2 linked regions of the Arabidopsis thaliana genome follow. The protein of the gene in region 1 interacts with the protein of each later gene in a biochemical or structural test. Each region holds a gene or a part of one and is shown in the gene's direction. Other genes may lie near its edges.

Evidence for each region.
Region 2: the proteins of AT2G30620 (region 1) and DME form a complex in vitro, tested with the Arabidopsis thaliana proteins (one study listed by BioGRID).

Annotation. Positions count from the first base shown.
Region 1 is NC_003071.7:13,039,672-13,049,768, forward strand, and holds AT2G30620 (winged-helix DNA-binding transcription factor family protein), read left to right. Parts: upstream 1-5,259; 5' UTR 5,260-5,688; coding exon 5,689-5,889; intron 5,890-5,975; coding exon 5,976-6,596; 3' UTR 6,597-7,011; downstream 7,012-10,097. Other genes in the region: AT2G30600 (BTB/POZ domain-containing protein), read left to right, coding at 92-304, 401-448, 549-607, 700-832, 949-1,023, 1,170-1,250, 1,424-1,492, 1,586-1,804; AT2G30615 (F-box/LRR protein), read right to left, coding at 2,099-2,671; AT2G30630 (P-loop containing nucleoside triphosphate hydrolases superfamily protein), read right to left, coding at 7,212-7,472, 7,547-7,691, 7,771-8,093, 8,263-8,383, 8,465-8,686, 8,761-9,109, 9,198-9,435. UniProt on the Arabidopsis thaliana protein: Histones H1 are necessary for the condensation of nucleosome chains into higher-order structures.
Region 2 is NC_003076.8:1,304,348-1,315,259, forward strand, and holds the start of DME (HhH-GPD base excision DNA repair family protein), read left to right. Parts: upstream 1-4,766; 5' UTR 4,767-4,889; exon of another isoform or gene 4,890-5,272; 5' UTR 5,273-5,438; coding exon 5,439-6,009; exon of another isoform or gene 6,010-6,120; coding exon 6,121-8,241; intron 8,242-8,339; coding exon 8,340-8,684; intron 8,685-8,917; coding exon 8,918-9,008; intron 9,009-9,078; coding exon 9,079-10,465; intron 10,466-10,557; coding exon 10,558-10,637; intron 10,638-10,740; coding exon 10,741-10,825; intron 10,826-10,908; coding exon 10,909-10,912. Other genes in the region: AT5G04550 (type-1 restriction enzyme mjaxp r protein (DUF668)), read right to left, coding at 1-1,209. UniProt on the Arabidopsis thaliana protein: Transcriptional activator involved in gene imprinting. Catalyzes the release of 5-methylcytosine (5-meC) from DNA by a glycosylase/lyase mechanism.

The DNA of each region.
Region 1 (10,097 bases):
TATATGAACAATGGAATTGTAATGGATATCACCAAGAGTGATGAATGACGTCTCCTTTCGTTATGGCATGTATTAAATCCTGGAATTGCAGTCTGCAGATCTGACGGTGACATCTGAAGAAAAGATTCTGAATGCTGTTCTCATGTGGTGCATGAAAGCTGAGGAGTCGCACAGTTGGGGAGTAATAGATGAGATGATGAACTATGCTGACCCCAAAAGTTTGTTCAAAGAAAGGCTTCAGTCACTTGATGACCTGTTACCTCATGTACGCTTCTCTTTGTTGCCATATGAGTTACTTAAAAGGGTAAGTGGATCCTGACCCTGTATATGCTGAATGAACTTTGTCATTTTCTGTTAAATTAATTTCGCTGATGCCATCTATGCTTTGATGATGACGCAGTTAGAAAACAGCAACCTAAGCAAAGAAATCCCAGTATTCAATCGTCTTGTAAGTTCTTAACATCTTCTATCGATTTGGGGATTATTTAATTTGTCATTTCAAGACTGATTTTCTCTCCAAGCCCTCACTTATTTTGTCTTGTGTACAGTTGAAGGAGGCTGCTAGCTTCCTAACATCCGGATTGATATCCCCAGGAAATGAACCGATGTATGAATTACATAGTCATGTATCTTAGGATTGTAAACATCTCCAGGTTTATATTTCCAGACTTCTCAATTATTAAAGCTTTTCACCTCTAGTTCAAGATTCCAACATCGGAGATCGAGTTTCAAGGAGCTTCAGTACATACGTGATGGGGACAGCAATGGGGTGCTGCACTTTGTGGGTACATCTTATGGTAGTCATCAGTGGGTCAACCCCGTTCTCGCAAAGGTTAACCTCACTTTTATCTTACTTTCTTTATTCATATTGTTGGAAATCCAATTACCATGACAAGGAATTCTGCTGGAGAAAAATATTTCCTTATTTGAGTTCTTTATGTTTTACAGAAAATCAACATTACATCGAGTAGTCCCACATCCAGATTCACTGATCCAAAGGCTTTGGCTTCAAAAGCCTATGCGGTATGGTCCACCCAAGTTCGCTCGGATTATATGACTAGAATTTGGCTTGAACTACAAAATTGACGAAGCATAAAATTAATTGAAGTGAACCTTCTTTCCTCTTAGATACAGTATTTAACCATATGATTTCATTTTTTTGGCACCAGGGTACTTCCTTTGCAGGGCCTAGGATGGAAGACGGCCATATATCATCCTGGTGGGTGGTGGACTTAGGCGAAGAACATCAGGTCTCCTCCATAACTTCTCTTTCTACATACTCTGTTCTCATAAAGACACAAACGGTCTAAATGCTCCATATGTAACCCATACTCGCAGAAATAAGAGAAAATGTATTTGAGTAAAACAACATTTACTTTAAGTTCTGAAAATAATATAACACGGTGAGGATTTTTGGTTGCAGCTTATGTGCAACTATTACACCTTCAGACAAGACGGATCAAGAGCATTCACAAGATTCTGGAAGTTTCAGGTATCTTATTTTTGCTACAATTATTTCCTGTCTTCTTAAGACAAGAGGTGCTTAGGAAAGTTTTGTGTTGTCGTTGTCTTGATGGGTTTGAAGGGATCGATGGATGGGAAAACATGGACAGACTTGAGAGTCCATGAGGATGACCAAACAATGTGCAAGGCCGGTCAGTTTGCATCATGGCCAATCACCGCAGCAAATGCATTACTCCCCTTTAGGTTTTTCAGGCTGGTTCTGACCGGTCCAACTGCAGATACATCAACTCCGTGGAACTTTTGCATTTGCTACTTGGAGCTCTACGGTTACTTCCGTTGAAGCGCTCTGCAATGAATGACCTTTTGACTGTTTCTACTACACACGTTTTTGACGTTTATCCTGTTTACCTTTTGTTCTTGTACTACAGTGATCTTTGAACCTGAAAGTGTTTCTCAATATATGTTAAACTTGATTCCAGTTAGATTGTTTTGGTTTTTATACAAGAGATTTGGCCTATGGCTGTGGAGTAATGAGTTATACTTTGTTTTTTATGACTCGGTTTAAGAATCTCTTGCATAAAACTGACGAAGCAGACTCTTTTTTGACAAAAAAAAGTATCACAACAGAGTAAAATCAAGACCTAGACGAAAAGCGAAAAATGACAAAAGCCACAAGAGTTGTGGTAAGCAAAATGTTTGGGAACCGCTCGAATCTTTTAAAGCATTTGGACATCCATGAGTCCGGCGGCAAATGATGTGTAGAAGGGTATGTCACAATCTTTGGAGCAGAATCCGAATGTCGAAGTGGAACCATATTCTCTACGAAATGAGATAAAACACGAATGTCTGCAGCGATAAAATGGACTTCGTTTGTTTCTGGATTATATTTGAACAGCCTCTTTTCACTGTCATGGAAGAAAAGATTCCCTTGCTTAGAAACTGTCACTGGTCTACACCACAACCTCCATATCCAAGGGTGAAGAGCTCTAGGGAATAAACAAAATGAGTACGTCTTGGTCCATGTATCTTCCTGTGGATCCAAGCTCCATATCCTTACTTCCCAATGAGAAACTCCATAATATGTTTTAACCAAGGCTAGACGATCTTCAAGGTTAACTAGCTCGCTCGGTTCCCGGGGTGTGGGCGGTGTTGGGACATCACGAAACTGTTCAGTGTGAAGATCCAGAGCTAGAATCTTGAAACGCATGTTAAGATGTGTCACTCACATGTTAAACGCATGTCTCGGGACTGCTCCGCGGAAAATCTTGAAGATATTGATGACAAAATTTGTATCGAAAAATCAATGCTTGTACAATCTACGACCAAAATGTATTTTTATTTTATTTGTATTTCTAGAGGTGTACAATTGAAAATCCTCAAAATAATCCACCAATAGTATCCAAATCATATGTTATTTATATACTCTTTATAAATATAAAATTAATTATGTGACAAAAAAAATCAAGTAATTCAAAAATTAATTAAGGTAGATCAAATAGCTTATAATTTAGTGATAAACTTTTAAATGTCATAAGACAAAAAGAATTACTTTAAATTTCATAGAACAAAGTTAACTAAATATATGCTAAACATATTTAAAGTTTTTCTTCTCTTTAGAACTAAACATTCACGAAGTGTTAATGTGAGGATGTTTACGACAAATTATTAATGTGAGGAGGTTAACAAAGAGGGCCTACGTGTTTCACGTTTCTGTTTGTATGTCATAAGAAATGAAAATTTATCCCTAATTAGGGAATTAGTTTAGTGATAAACTTTTAAATGTCTCAATGACAATTATTAATTTGATTTCGTAAAATTTCGTAAATATTTCTTAAATAATGTCTAGGGAAGAATGAAGATGACATTTGTACTGAAAGTAAGGGATGTGGATAAGTATTCTAAATAATCAAAACTAGTGTAAGGTCTTATTGTTTTAATTAAGATTCTTAGCATATGTAGAGAATACAAAAAATAAAAATAAAATTGCATACTTGTGTTTATCGAAAGATTAGTGACAAAAATTTGTTACCTTTTTCGTAAATGGTAGATGGAAAACATTAACCATATTATAAGTTTTGTCAATCAATAATCATTTACTAGCTCATCACTAAATCCGTAACGAGAAAAACTCGTAATCAAACTGCATGTTTGTTAAGTGATAGAATAGTCTAGAAGACTCTAGATAATATGGTTCGAGTATTTTAAAAACCAACATTAGCTTCCATTGGTGAATGTAAAAAATGTAAATGACTAGTGACATCCAAGAGTAAACCATTTGGACGCATCAATTTTGAACGAGAGATTGGTGGATTAATGTCTACATACACGTTTACTCTCAAGCTATTTATGGTTGTGTTAAAGGTTCCTATCTTACTTAGCGGCTTTGTTTTGGGTATAAATATATTGATTGAATTTTAACATTTAAGAGTATCATCGTTTAGAAAATATTTGTGACGAAAATAATTAGACTATGGTCAGATTGATTATAACTTTACAAAACGGTTTCTTTTTACTTGTGTAATGACATTTAGCTATAGATCAATTTAGCGTTCTTAATTTGTGTTGGGTTAGATTTTGAATTGGAAAACATTTGACGTATATATGAGTTGGATCCAGTTTGTATTTTGGTTACATTTTCAGTTATATATGTGATAAGAAGAGTTAATTTAGAAAGTTATTTTTTACTGTCTGTATATATCTCTATAAGGAAAATTTTCTAATTAAATCATTTCTTTGAAACTCTTATTTGCATCAATCATATATGCCATATATTCACACATATATTCGTGTCGAAGATGTTATATAATATTTCTAAGAAAAAATCATTGAAAATGCGAAAATATTTCATACCGATATGAATATTGGTTTGTGATTATAGGTTTATAACAAGATCTCACCAACGTTGCTTCGTTGGAGAACTACAGTATTAAGGTGACAAACTTAGTTTCATGTCAATTACTCGTTTTCGTTTTGTTTTGGTCTCGTTTCAATATATTAGTTATATATGGATGATGAAAGAATAAAATTTTGTATTAATATGAATTGGTTTTTGACTTTACGTATATTTCAGTAGAGGAAAACTTGCCTAATTCACAATTTCCTTATGAATATAAACTTTTTTATAACTATGATATATAATAAACCTATAATCTCAAATCAATATTGATGTTTGTTCAGAAATTTCTCGCGGTTTAACTATCATCAATGTTGATTTGTTAAAGAATAGGCATAGCAACATGTTACCTGAATCGAAATTCATAGCAAAGATTTATGTTTGCTAACGAATATCATATACTATTATTGATAATAATAAAGTTACATTTAAGCTTTTAGAAGCTATATGCATATACTTGCATACATCATCATTATACGCATATGCTTCACTAATTCCACATTTTAAAACAAATTTAAACTTTGTGATTCAATTCAAGATGTAATGACTTTCAAATATGTAAAATGGTTCCAACGCATTACTCTTTGGTTATCTTAGTTAGGACTCTCTTAAAGAGAGACACATCACACATGCAACAAGTTGTGTGGCACCACACACAAGAAGATGGTCATCTTTGGTCGGATTCAACAACACAATTTTCCACCTTAAACTCATCCGATTTCATCAAATCATAGTTCGTTACACTCCTTGATTAGTCTAGTTTTCAACGAACATAACCATTAAAAAAAAAACCATAAGCATTCTCCAAAAAACCAAAAATACCGTAATACTATCAAAACAAACCATAGTTTTGACCAACCTTGCTTCAATCCCCATTTTCTCATCCTACACAAAACCATTTCAATCGATTAAACACTCAAACAAAACCTTACAGAATTATCTACACAATGAAAAAAACAAAATCAAAATCCATAAAGTAAACAAAAAGTTATGATAAAATCAATCAAAGCTAAAAGCACACCAATACAATACACAAAAGCACCTATCCACATCCATTAACCTCCGCATCCTTACATTCGTAATCCTAAATTATAAACCGTCGATAGATTTAAATCCAACGGTTGAAATTCAAACCTGAGTTGATACACCGATCCGAGTACTCATCATTTTAACCAATCAGAGAAGAGATTACAAACTCTGTCTCATAAACACATCTGACTATATAAACATCATTCCCATAGTTCTTCTCCTTCTCCTCATCACAAAATTCTCCGACGCATTACATTTTCTTCCGATCAATACAGAGAGATCAGTTTCTGAGAGAGAAGAAGATGTCTATAGAGGAAGAAAACGTTCCAACGACTGTTGACTCAGGAGCTGCCGATACAACGGTGAAATCTCCGGAGAAGAAACCGGCGGCGAAAGGTGGTAAATCTAAGAAGACGACGACGGCTAAAGCAACGAAGAAGCCTGTGAAAGCTGCTGCTCCAACGAAGAAGAAAACAACTTCCTCTCACCCTACCTATGAAGAGGTCAATATTCGATCTAAACTTTTTTTTTTTGAATTTTTATCAGATTCATAGATTTGGAATTTGAATTTTGTTTGAATTCGATGCAGATGATTAAAGATGCGATTGTAACGTTGAAGGAGAGAACTGGATCTAGTCAATACGCGATTCAGAAATTCATAGAGGAGAAACATAAATCACTGCCTCCTACTTTTAGGAAGCTTTTGCTTGTGAATCTCAAGAGACTTGTTGCTTCTGAGAAATTGGTTAAAGTCAAAGCTTCTTTTAAGATTCCTTCTGCTAGATCCGCAGCAACACCTAAACCGGCTGCTCCGGTTAAGAAGAAGGCAACTGTAGTAGCTAAACCTAAGGGTAAGGTTGCTGCTGCTGTTGCTCCTGCTAAAGCTAAAGCGGCGGCTAAAGGAACTAAGAAGCCTGCGGCTAAAGTTGTTGCTAAGGCTAAGGTTACTGCTAAACCTAAGGCTAAGGTTACTGCTGCTAAACCTAAGTCTAAGTCTGTTGCTGCTGTTTCCAAGACTAAAGCTGTTGCTGCTAAGCCTAAGGCTAAGGAGAGACCAGCTAAAGCTTCTAGGACTTCGACTAGAACATCTCCAGGGAAAAAAGTTGCTGCTCCTGCTAAGAAAGTGGCTGTGACTAAGAAGGCTCCGGCTAAGAGTGTGAAGGTGAAGTCTCCGGCGAAGAGAGCTTCGACTAGGAAGGCTAAGAAGTGAAGAAGATTGGTTTAGGATAGGTTTTGGGGGGAGATTGAATACATGGTGGTGGTTAGCTTCTATAGGGTAGTCTTGTATAATTGAATCATCCTTGAAGGAGCTTGCTTTCCAAAGTTTTTTACTTGTTTCTTTGGTTTCTTCTTGAAACTTTTTTTTTTCTTCTTTGTAAGTTTTGGTTTGTTTGAATTTTAAGCTTTTTGATCAATAGCTATAATGTGATGGTTTCTTCACTCTTTTACTTGTTCAGAAACTGTTATAGAAGCTTTCCATTTCAAGCAAATGACATTCACATGTTTAGTTCTGTCTTACTGTATCATTGTCTTTGTGGATTCTTCAGTTGTGGTTTTGAAGGAACTGGTCTCTCTTAAGAACAAGCTTGACCAATGTTAAGGTGAGATTCATATGTTTTCCTCTGAATCATGTCATACATTTGCTTCCTTAAACATCTCTTAAGACCAAGCTTGACAATGTAACTATCTCTTAGGTTAGGTGTTGCCAATTCTCTCTTTACTAGAGAGATTCAATTTTGTTTGATGTTTTAGGAGTTACATAAATGAATGACATACCGGGAAAAAAAAAGCTAAGAGATCTTCTGCGTTTATCTATCTTCATCTCTCATCTTGGTGTTTCTTGGAGATACTGTTTGAATCTTTCCACTTTCTGAATTGAGTATTTGAGCTCTTGTTGAATGTTGAACCTAGAAGGAGAAAGAACAATGTCTTTCCATATTGATCCAGCTTCACAAGCAGGATTTGGATTTCTGTATAGCTCGTAAATAGAATCTGCATTCTCGTTTAACCTCCCTACATTCTTCAAACAGTCTATCTCCTCTGGATCCACTAGCAATGTCTTTTCCTTCTCTTTCCACCCTATCAGCTGCATAAACCACATTTGTTCACCATGGATCCTCACTTTCATTACTTAAAACGTTTCAGGAGGAAAATTTTAACCTTTGGAGAACCTTCAAGAGCATTGGTGCAGTAAAGTCTAGCATTGTCAACTAAGTTGCAATAGGTAAGAAACGCATTCGCAAACCTCTTGTGAGATCTCAGCTGAGACCTCACTCTAACTGCTCTTCTACACATTATAGCTCTCCTGCATATATAGTAAACCAAAACCTTATGTTATGAAAACACACAATTGTTTTAAAGACCAACACTTGGAACATTCTCACCTAATTCCTCGAATCACTGCTAAATATGCATCACATACAACTCCAACTAACTCTATCCTGTATGGCTTTCTCTCCCTTCCATCTTCTTGAAGCTGTTGCCTTTCGCCTATGCGTTCCCAATAGTTCTCTATAACATCTCCATTCTCACCAACCTTGTAGCCAGCTCCCATTCTGTAACGATGGCGATGCACATTCCTCGCCATTGTTATGGTCTGAACCACAAATGGTACCCAAGAGAGTGTTCCATCCATTATCACGTCTCGCCCTTCGTTGAGAGCTGTAACGAGCAGCGATGATGCTGCGTCTGTTGATGATTGGTGAACCTGTTTTATTTCCATTTCACCGTCAGAGTTTCACAACATTGGATATTGAGTATAACAAAGGTAATATGCAGTATATATGAAGTTGATTCCTTGCACATTTTGTCGCTCTGCAGGTTCTTTTTACGTTAAGGATTCTTATTGCAACCTATAAGGAAACAAAGAACCTTACGAATTCAGCAGTCTTGATCATATCAACATGACCTCTGGCGCTTAAAGCTCTGTATATCACATCAGATTCTTTAAAAGCATCGGCTTCAATCACCACAGCATCAGCTCCTGCCCAAAACGGTCTGATCCAAAGCACACAAGCATGTACAGGTTCAATGCATAAGAACACTGATTAATGACAGATATGTTGATACTTTACTTACTCTTTGAGAATGTCTTTAAGCACAGTGCTCTTTCCTGCACCCATACCACCTCCCATAAGAAGTAGAACCGGGCTTCGGTCCTTGTGTGCAACTGGAGCCATAACTTCTGTACACTCTGAGTCATCAACAGATGCGATCCCCATTGCTTTCATTTCCTCTACCAATGTGTTAAACACTCTTGCCACTTTTAGATTTTTAGTCACCCTCTCAAACCTCTGTTCCCTATATATTAACCAAGGAACAAACAATCATTTTGGGAAGAATCATTAAAGAGAACACTTGTTTTTTAGACTCACCTTGTAGCCGCCATGACAATGTGCTTTAGCTTCTTCTTAGGCTCTACATCGGCACTGAGTATCTGAAATGTTTTTGGTCTATTAGTAATATAACAAAGAAGGGATAATGAAAGTTTATTAGTAACCTGACTGATCATGAGATCCGCATGGCTCCAGTGGTAAGCAAAGTAACTAAGAATACATCTCTCAAACTCTTCAACGAGCTTAATGAAGAGAGAATCAGCACCAGGCTCTTCAGAGAAGAAGCTGTATATGTCTTCCTCACAGCTGCCTGATTTTCTTATGTACTCATTAGCTAATTTGCAGAGATGAGGACATTCTCTCCTGTCCTTGAATCCCATCTGCCGCACTACAAAAGACACAAACAACATTTCCTTAATATGCATCATAATCTAAGATCAGGAAGATTTCAAGGAAGCTATGTAGATTGATTTTACCAACATAGTGAGAGAATCTCTCAAGCTTCTCATGGCCTTTGTGTTTTTGAGACGATCTGAGACGAGGGATGTTCTTGGAGTGACGTAGCTTCCTTAGACGGAAGTGCAGTGCAAGGGCTAAGAGTAAGCCAATGGATGAGATTACTAAAATCTGTGCGAAGGTCGTCGTGTTGTTGTTGCTGTTAAACTCTGGAACACACATTGATCTGGATTTGCTTTGGGGATCATCAAGAGACATGAGATTAAGATTGTTAGAACTCTAAGATTGGGTCCATTCTTGAGTTTGTTTTCTGTTACGAGACAATGTATCTGCTTTCTCCACGTGTGTTGTACTAAAATAGCTTTGAGTCCTATTACTCCGGAAGTTTCTTAGTTTGCTTTTTGTGTGATTTGACTCACCATTTTGTTTTAATAACCAAACTCTCATCCCCAATGTATGATATAATAGTGTTTTGGCAATGGTTTTATAAAATCTATTCGTTAAGGCTATAACATAAGAAGAATCTGTCATTGGATATCTATTGGAAAAATGAGTTACAGAGAAAGGCTTTGAAAATAATATTCTAAACCTAAGTATAAGAAATAATAAATTCAGATCAGAGAAGAAGTAAAGAATCTAAAGAGAGATGTCATATGTTTTTCATATAGGAGCTGTGCAAGTTGTTCTGAAATGGCCAGCCTGATTACACCGGCTACATCGAACAACCCGCTTTTGACGTCCACGGTCCTCTCCTTGACTTCTCCTCTTCTTTGGCCGTGGTGGTTGTCTTAAATCCCTAGGTGGTCTGATAACAATCTCTTCACCATCCTCACCACTTTCTCCGGCAGGTTCTGTTGTTTTCCACTCAGTTTTGTCTGGAACTGGATGTATGGTTTCTGCGTAAGTTCGCCGGTAATTTG
Region 2 (10,912 bases), on another chromosome or scaffold:
GTGATGCTCAGCACTACTATTCCTAGCTCCATTCCGGGCCCTAGTGCTGAGAGGCGTAATCCCATCGTGAGACACCATACAGCCTTTAAATGGGCCAACCTGTGTTAATCGGTTGGCTTTCAATTGCTTTTTCACTGAGGAAATTGAAGGCCTTTCCGGGGTCTGCCCCATCTTCTTGTTGTTTTTGCCCATTCCGATAAGTGGTCCTGATTTGGAGGTGATCTTCCCAAGCTGACCAGAGTAAAACTTGAAACGTTTGTGTTTTTCTGCAACAAGAGGACCTGACTTAGGTGATTCGGCGCTGAGAGAACCCGAAAGGAAATCACTCATCTTCGTGGACCTTGTAGCAGCTGAACCCGATGCTGGACCGGTAAATCTTCCAAGGGGGCCAGAAGCAAATCTAGGAAGACCACTAGACTCAGATTTATGAGATACAGGAGTTAAAATAGTAGAAACGGAGTGGCTGCGGCCAATAAAATCAGAATCTGCAGAGCTAACATCACTTGCTTCCACTCTGTAACTAATGCCAAAAACATGTTTAGTCCTGCTAAGGATTGTGAAAACTGATCTAACCAAGAGAATGACGGTATAGTCATAAGTACGGTTCCAAAGAGACACATCCCGCAGATTCTTCACTTCGTGTCTTTTCCATGTAACTTTTTTCTGATACTCCAAAAGATTGTCAGTAGCAGATTCATTGCTCTTCATTCTCTTGAAAGTCTGTTCAAGATCAGCAAGAATCTCAGTCTCCTGGTAGAGACTAGCATTAGATGATATGAAACGTTCCATTTTCTTAGCTTTCTTATCCATTTTCTTCCACCCAAACTGCCAACCATAAGGGTCAGCTCCAGTCTTCATCATATCACTAAAACAATTCTCAAAGCACTTCAACTTGGGATCGTTGCATTTCCTCGCAAGCCTAGCCACAGCTTTCGCTACATTCTCAACGTTCTCCATCATTTCATCACGTATTAACCTCACAATAAAATCATCATCTTCTGAAACTAACTTCTTTATACCAGTGGAATGTGTAATCTCGTCCCTAAGCCTTGCAACATTCTTATCACTTAATGACTGCCACAAATGAACAAGCTTCGACAACAAACTCGCAACCTCAAACGCTAATACTCCTAGAACCGCCTTATCTTTATGACCATCATGTTTCTTTGGAAACCTCCACAGATTACGAAACCAAGTCTCTGAAACCATCTTCTCTCAACCTGCAATAAACCAATACTATCAACACCAAAAAGCTTCCAAATTTCACAATAAAAAACCAGACCCACGATTGAAATCTCAAGAAAACAGCAAGAAGTAACTCGTACACAAGCAAAAAGGAATTGAAATTGGGGAAATCTAGCTACAGAGCTCAAGTTAGAGAGAAACGCCCAAATTCAACCAACCCTCTAAATCGGTTCTCGAAGCTTAAAGCTACCAACATCGAATTTAGTAAAAGACCCATGATTTGAAATTGGAATTGTCGGCAAAATCGAGAAGATATAGAGCCGACACGGGAACAGTGAAAACCACAAAGCGCGTAAGAATGAAACAGTGGGAGAAGGAAGAGAGAATCTTACCGATCATTCGAGGGAAAAGATGGGAATCAGAGAAAAATCTGGAAAAAAAGAAATTAAGAGAAAGAGAGAGAAGAAAGTGAGGAGGAAGATGCAGTGAAGACTGCTATAGCCACATCCCACATGGTGTGATGAGAGAGAGAGAGAGAGAGGTTAAAGCAGCAAATTGTGGAGAGATAAAGAGAGAGAGAGACTGAGCGAGTCAAGTTCGTCGTCGTGTTTAAAAGAAAGAATCCTATATTTGCCTTTTTCTTTACTACTTTATTTTCAGACTATTTGCTTATTTTGCCTCAAACTTTTTTGATTGTCACTTTTCGATCCTAAAGTGTTTGACAATTTACCTGCCTTTTTCTCCAAGAAAAATCAGAACAGACCACAGCAAATTTATGTATTTTCTATTAAAAAAGAAAGAAAGAATTCATATTACTTATAGAATTAAAAGCTAAGCAGTTGAAAACGTGAAAGCAGAATTTCTAAAAAAAATAGTAAACTGCTACAAACTTATTTATGTGTATATAACATATCTATAAAGAAACTCAAATATATGATAAATCATTTTAACAAAATTTCTATGAAATTATAATAAAAAAAGTCACTTTTGACACTTAAAAGGTTGACAATAACCGTCTCTCCAAAAAAAAATCAAAACATTTATAATTTCTAAAACTATGGTGTAATTTTGCTGAAATCAAAAAGAAAAGAAGGATTTCTATATCATAAGTTTCATTATTGTATCAAACTTTCAAATTTCATGTAATTTGAAAGGAAAAAAATTAAGATATAATGTTGTTTTTGTTTCTTATGTTACATTTTCATGGAATATATATTCATAACAAAAAATGTATTTTAATATGATGAGAGATTACCATCCAAAAGGTCGAACTTATATAAAACAAGTTAATAACTAAACAATACATGTGATCACAATCAATGACAGTTTTGATCTTAAAATAGAAATGATTGAGCAAACCTCAAAAATGTCTTCTTAGGATCACAAAATCTTTCCTTTAGCTTATTAAAGCCGGGAGTTCAACTCTCTCTCCCTTGTAGACTTTTTGTTTTCAAATCTTTTTCTTTCAAAAAATCAATAATTAGTTAATGGGCATAATATTTGGTTTTAATTAAGTCCATAGATTTTTTAGGACCATCTCTAATCACGACAAATATCCTAAATTGTAACACATTTAAAACTTAAAAGTATTGCATTCACAATCCTTAAAATATATATATATATATATATATATATATATATATATATATATGAAAGTTATATAGAAACGATAACTCCTTACTCAACAATTAGCCCAAAAAAACATCCATAATGCATTTAAACTAGGAATTTTAACAAACTCAAATAGGTTGGTAGTTAAAAAAAAACAAATAGTAGATGTACATACGTACCTTTAAAAATATATACTCATATCGAAAGTTTTAAATTTTGCGAAATTAAATACATTTATCTATCAATTAAAATACATTTAATAATGCATAATTCTGTAATATCTATCTTTAATTTCCATATAGAACCAAAACAAAATAAACATATCAAATAGTTTTAACTTAACAAAAACGTTAGGGAAAAGTTGACCTAACTAGCTTGATTGACGTTGAACTTGTCAATGCGAAAGCGATATTTCCAATATATACTACATGTAGTATTATTTATATGGAAGTTTCTAAAAAGGTGTTGAGTGGATTGTTACTTGTTGGAGGATGCTATTTTTTCCTTCTTGCCATAATATTTTACGAGTATGGGATAACTACATACTCATGATTATGAAACGCTCACTTTATTTGAAAAACCTCCTAATACACCAAATATGTCACTAGATTCCAAAACGTAGACCAATTGTATCTAATCTCAAATTCTCAATCAAAGTATTAATTTACCGATGGTAAGAAAAGTTAACCGATATAATTATCAAAAGAAAGAATAAGTCAACAGATTCTTAATCTCTTTATTTTGGTATATGAACATTTGTACAAAAATCTCAAAAGATATGTAACTGTTTAAAATATAAATTCACTGAGATTAATTCTTCAGACTCGTGTTAGCTATAATAATGTCAAGAGTTCTTCTTGTTTCAAGGAAAAACCTTAAAGATATGTATATTTTCTGTAATTATGATGATATAATTTGCTATTCATTGTCACAAACATTACTTTAAAAAATCGTATTTTCATTACTACAATGTTGACTAAGAACAAAAATACATTGATTATTGATATATCGTCAACTGAATTTTCTTCCGAGGGATATAATTCTCAAACATAGCAAGAATCTCATAATAATGTTTCGTGACTACCTTTAGACGAAATTTTTTTAAGATTCGTAACGTGACTTATGGTCTCTTGCTGTGGGGGTCAATGCGAATAAATCTAAATGTATGGGAGTCAAATAAAATACCAAGAAAAATAAAGGAGCAGCACCCAATAAACTATATGGGACCAGAAATCCTTTCATTGGTTTAAAATAGGATTATCCCGAAAGATGAAGGACTAAATTGAAACTGATTGGGGGTAGGAAGAGATCCGTCACAATCATTAATGGCTTCCACGCGGAAACTTGTCGTTTATACAATTTCATTAACTTTCGGGTCGGGTTTATATTCCAAATGGGTCAAATAATATTAGTTTAATACACTAACGGAGTAATTAATTGGTGACTACAATTTTATCAGTTTGGTGCAATTAGAAACGAACATAGTCGTAAAATACGAGTTCGGTGTTATACCTTTATTTACGTTAAAAAAATACGAGAATTTTGTGTCAAATTTCAAATTAATTTCATGAATATATGGAAATTATTAGATACTCTAGCGAAAATAGTGATTATGAGCGTTTTACAAAAATACGATTTTAGCATTGAACTTCCTTTATGTAATTCGGTCAAATGTTGGCATGAAGAAGCAAGTTTGCAACATTAAATTTCATTTAAAAATCGTGTTGACATACTTTAAAATCTAAATATAGGAAGAAGACCAAAACATTAAATTTAGTAAGATTCTAATGAACATTTATAAGTTATAACTTATAACCAACAAAAGTTGGGTTTAGCGTTGTTGCTTTATCTGAAAACTTGCAAACTAAACCATTTTAATAGGACTAATGACAATTAACAACAAAATACACTTAAGCAACAACGTCCTCGTGAATATAATTTGGGCCTCAGGCCCATATTGCTAACGCCAACTGATATTTCACTTTATTCCTTCTTCATCTCACCACACTCTCTCTCTATCTCTATCTCTAACGGCATAGCTGACTCAGTGTTCTCCGGCATTGACTCGCCTGAGAATCAGAAAGCTTAGATCGGTGAGCTTTTAGCTCCATTTTCTGTTTATTTACATATTATTTCCTTTTTTTCTCTCTCCCTTTTTTATCTGGAATTTGTTCTGCTAAATTTTCCAGCTGTTACATTTTCCGATCACGAGAAGAATCACTGGGTTTTTATGTTAATCAATACATGTTCCTGTTTTCTGATCATAAATCTCAGCTATTAACACCTGATTTTGATTCTGCGTAATAAAAACCTCTGATTTGCTTTTATCTTCACTTTCCCCATAAACATTGCTTACTTTATTCGCTCTTCTTTTACCGTTTCCAGCTAAAAAATTCTTCGCTATTCAATGTGTTTCTCGTTTTGTTGATGAGAAAAATATCTGACAAAAAATCATTTATTGCATTTTATGGTGCAGATTCTTAGTTAATGTCGCCTTCTCTAACCAAGTCAGATTAAAAAGGAGTGTTCGTCCATGTTGCTTTGTTTTGGTGTTTGGAGAGAGTTTTCGGAGAGTTAGGTGAGTGTTATTTGGGGTGAGGTAGTGATAAGGTTTGAAGGGGGAGTGATTCATCAAGTGTGTTATGAATTCGAGGGCTGATCCGGGGGATAGATATTTTCGAGTTCCTTTGGAGAATCAAACTCAACAAGAGTTCATGGGTTCTTGGATTCCATTTACACCCAAAAAACCTAGATCAAGTCTGATGGTAGATGAGAGAGTGATAAACCAGGATCTAAATGGGTTTCCAGGTGGTGAATTTGTAGACAGGGGATTCTGCAACACTGGTGTGGATCATAATGGGGTTTTTGATCATGGTGCTCATCAGGGCGTTACCAACTTAAGTATGATGATCAATAGCTTAGCGGGATCACATGCACAAGCTTGGAGTAATAGTGAGAGAGATCTTTTGGGCAGGAGTGAGGTGACTTCTCCTTTAGCACCAGTTATCAGAAACACCACCGGTAATGTAGAGCCGGTCAATGGAAATTTTACTTCAGATGTGGGTATGGTAAATGGTCCTTTCACCCAGAGTGGCACTTCTCAAGCTGGCTATAATGAGTTTGAATTGGATGACTTGTTGAATCCTGATCAGATGCCCTTCTCCTTCACAAGCTTGCTGAGTGGTGGGGATAGCTTATTCAAGGTTCGTCAATGTGAGTGATCAAATCTATTTTCAGTTTTTTTTTTTCCCTTTCTTCCGTTCTTGCAGTACTTAGAGTAGAACATGAATTAGAATATCTTAAGAAAGTCATGGTTTTGAACAGATGGACCTCCAGCGTGTAACAAGCCTCTTTACAATTTGAATTCACCAATTAGAAGAGAAGCAGTTGGGTCAGTCTGTGAAAGTTCGTTTCAATATGTACCGTCAACGCCCAGTCTGTTCAGAACAGGTGAAAAGACTGGATTCCTTGAACAGATAGTTACAACTACTGGACATGAAATCCCAGAGCCGAAATCTGACAAAAGTATGCAGAGCATTATGGACTCGTCTGCTGTTAATGCGACGGAAGCTACTGAACAAAATGATGGCAGCAGACAAGATGTTCTGGAGTTCGACCTTAACAAAACTCCTCAGCAGAAACCCTCCAAAAGGAAAAGGAAGTTCATGCCCAAGGTGGTCGTGGAAGGCAAACCTAAAAGAAAGCCACGCAAACCTGCAGAACTTCCCAAAGTGGTCGTGGAAGGCAAACCTAAAAGGAAGCCACGCAAAGCTGCAACTCAGGAAAAAGTGAAATCTAAAGAAACCGGGAGTGCCAAAAAGAAAAATTTGAAAGAATCAGCAACTAAAAAGCCAGCCAATGTTGGAGATATGAGCAACAAAAGCCCTGAAGTCACACTCAAAAGTTGCAGAAAAGCTTTGAATTTTGACTTGGAGAATCCTGGAGATGCGAGGCAAGGTGACTCTGAGTCTGAAATTGTCCAGAACAGTAGTGGCGCAAACTCGTTTTCTGAGATCAGAGATGCCATTGGTGGAACTAATGGTAGTTTCCTGGATTCAGTGTCACAAATAGACAAGACCAATGGATTGGGGGCTATGAACCAGCCACTTGAAGTGTCAATGGGAAACCAGCCAGATAAACTATCTACAGGAGCGAAACTGGCCAGAGACCAACAACCTGATTTATTGACTAGAAACCAGCAATGCCAGTTCCCAGTGGCAACCCAGAACACCCAGTTCCCAATGGAAAACCAACAAGCTTGGCTTCAGATGAAAAACCAACTTATTGGCTTTCCATTTGGTAACCAGCAACCTCGCATGACCATAAGAAACCAGCAGCCTTGCTTGGCCATGGGTAATCAACAACCTATGTATCTGATAGGAACTCCACGGCCTGCATTAGTAAGTGGAAACCAGCAACTAGGAGGTCCCCAAGGAAACAAGCGGCCTATATTTTTGAATCACCAGACTTGTTTACCTGCTGGAAATCAGCTATATGGATCACCTACAGACATGCATCAACTTGTTATGTCAACCGGAGGGCAACAACATGGACTACTGATAAAAAACCAGCAACCTGGATCATTAATAAGAGGCCAGCAGCCTTGCGTACCTTTGATTGACCAGCAACCTGCAACTCCAAAAGGTTTTACTCACTTGAATCAGATGGTAGCTACCAGCATGTCATCGCCTGGGCTTCGACCTCATTCTCAGTCACAAGTTCCTACAACATATCTACATGTGGAATCTGTTTCCAGGATTTTGAATGGGACTACAGGTACATGCCAGAGAAGCAGGGCTCCTGCATACGATTCTTTACAGCAAGATATCCATCAAGGAAATAAGTACATACTTTCTCATGAGATATCCAATGGTAATGGGTGCAAGAAAGCGTTACCTCAAAACTCTTCTCTGCCAACTCCAATTATGGCTAAACTTGAGGAAGCCAGGGGCTCGAAGAGACAGTATCATCGTGCAATGGGACAGACGGAAAAGCATGATCTAAACTTAGCTCAACAGATTGCTCAATCACAAGATGTGGAGAGACATAACAGCAGCACGTGTGTGGAATATTTAGATGCTGCAAAGAAAACGAAAATCCAGAAAGTAGTCCAAGAAAATTTGCATGGCATGCCACCTGAGGTTATAGAAATCGAGGATGATCCAACTGATGGGGCAAGAAAAGGTAAAAATACTGCCAGCATCAGTAAAGGTGCATCTAAAGGAAACTCGTCTCCAGTTAAAAAGACAGCAGAAAAGGAGAAATGTATTGTCCCAAAAACGCCTGCAAAAAAGGGTCGAGCAGGTAGAAAAAAATCAGTACCTCCGCCTGCTCATGCCTCAGAGATCCAGCTTTGGCAACCTACTCCTCCAAAGACACCTTTATCAAGAAGCAAGCCTAAAGGAAAAGGGAGAAAGTCCATACAAGATTCAGGAAAAGCAAGAGGTAACTAATGTATTCTACAATCTCTGTGATATAATTTTGAGATTTTAGTAACTGATGTGTCCAAACCAGCTCCTTATCACTGTTGGTGCGTTGTATAGGTCCATCAGGAGAACTTCTGTGTCAGGATTCTATTGCGGAAATAATTTACAGGATGCAAAATCTGTATCTAGGAGACAAAGAAAGAGAACAAGAGCAAAATGCAATGGTCTTGTACAAAGGAGATGGTGCACTTGTTCCCTATGAGAGCAAGAAGCGAAAACCAAGACCCAAAGTTGACATTGACGATGAAACAACTCGCATATGGAACTTACTGATGGGGAAAGGAGATGAAAAAGAAGGGGATGAAGAGAAGGATAAAAAGAAAGAGAAGTGGTGGGAAGAAGAAAGAAGAGTCTTCCGAGGAAGGGCTGATTCCTTCATCGCTCGCATGCACCTGGTACAAGGTGAAGATCCACTTCTCTTCTCAACTCCATTTTTATTCACACAAATTAGTAGAATACTCAAAAATGATGTTTTGTTTGCAAAATTTTAAAATTCACTAGTTAACCATGTCAAATAATATTCATAATGCATCTTGTGAAGAACAGGTGTGCATTTATGGTGACAGCTGAATGGTTTATGTGCCTATTATTTCTTTTACTGCTATAGATGACCAATTGAACTTAAACGTTTACAGGAGATAGACGTTTTTCGCCATGGAAGGGATCGGTGGTTGATTCGGTCATTGGAGTTTTCCTTACACAGAATGTCTCGGATCACCTTTCAAGGTATATGAGTTGCCTTAATAAATTGAGTTCCAAAACATAGAAATTAACCCATGGTGGTTTTACAATGCAGCTCTGCGTTCATGTCTCTAGCTGCTCGATTCCCTCCAAAATTAAGCAGCAGCCGAGAAGATGAAAGGAATGTTAGAAGCGTAGTTGTTGAAGATCCAGAAGGATGCATTCTGAACTTAAATGAAATTCCTTCGTGGCAGGAAAAGGTTCAACATCCATCTGACATGGAAGTTTCTGGGGTTGATAGTGGATCAAAAGAGCAGCTAAGGGACTGTTCAAACTCTGGAATTGAAAGATTTAATTTCTTAGAGAAGAGTATTCAAAATTTAGAAGAGGAAGTATTATCATCACAAGATTCTTTTGATCCGGCGATATTTCAGTCGTGTGGGAGAGTTGGATCCTGTTCATGTTCCAAATCAGACGCAGAGTTTCCTACAACCAGGTGTGAAACAAAAACTGTCAGTGGAACATCACAATCAGTGCAAACTGGGAGCCCAAACTTGTCTGATGAAATTTGTCTTCAAGGGAATGAGAGACCGCATCTATATGAAGGATCTGGTGATGTTCAGAAACAAGAAACTACAAATGTCGCTCAGAAGAAACCTGATCTTGAAAAAACAATGAATTGGAAAGACTCTGTCTGTTTTGGTCAGCCAAGAAATGATACTAATTGGCAAACAACTCCTTCCAGCAGCTATGAGCAGTGTGCGACTCGACAGCCACATGTACTAGACATAGAGGATTTTGGAATGCAAGGTGAAGGCCTTGGTTATTCTTGGATGTCCATCTCACCAAGAGTTGACAGAGTAAAGAACAAAAATGTACCACGCAGGTTTTTCAGACAAGGTGGAAGTGTTCCAAGAGAATTCACAGGTCAGATCATACCATCAACGCCTCATGAATTACCAGGAATGGGATTGTCCGGTTCCTCAAGCGCCGTCCAAGAACACCAGGACGATACCCAACATAATCAACAAGATGAGATGAATAAAGCATCCCATTTACAAAAAACATTTTTGGATCTGCTCAACTCCTCTGAAGAATGCCTTACAAGACAGTCCAGTACCAAACAGAACATCACGGATGGCTGTCTACCGAGAGATAGAACTGCTGAAGACGTGGTTGATCCGCTCAGTAACAATTCAAGCTTACAGAACATATTGGTCGAATCAAATTCCAGCAATAAAGAGCAGACGGCAGTTGAATACAAGGAGACAAATGCCACTATTTTACGAGAGATGAAAGGGACGCTTGCTGATGGGAAAAAGCCTACAAGCCAGTGGGATAGTCTCAGAAAAGATGTGGAGGGGAATGAAGGGAGACAGGAACGAAACAAAAACAATATGGATTCCATAGACTATGAAGCAATAAGACGTGCTAGTATCAGCGAGATTTCTGAGGCTATCAAGGAAAGAGGGATGAATAACATGTTGGCCGTACGAATTAAGGTAAATCTACTAATTTCAGTTGAGACCCTCATCAAATCTGTCAGAAGGCTTGAACATCAGTAAATTATGTAACCATATTTACAACATTGCAGGATTTCCTAGAACGGATAGTTAAAGATCATGGTGGTATCGACCTTGAATGGTTGAGAGAATCTCCTCCTGATAAAGCCAAGTGGGTAAATCACATTTTTAGTGACTGCAACACTAGCACGATCGATTTACTCAACAATTACGTCAAACTGAGTATTAACAAGTTGCTCATGAACATTTCACAGGGACTATCTCTTGAGCATAAGAGGTCTGGGTTTGAAAAGTGTTGAATGCGTGCGACTCTTAACACTCCACAATCTTGCTTTCCCTGTGAGTCAGACTATTCCATTATCTACTAAAAACTTAGAATAACTCCGGCTAACTAAGCTGGAACTTGTATTGATGATATGAAGGTTG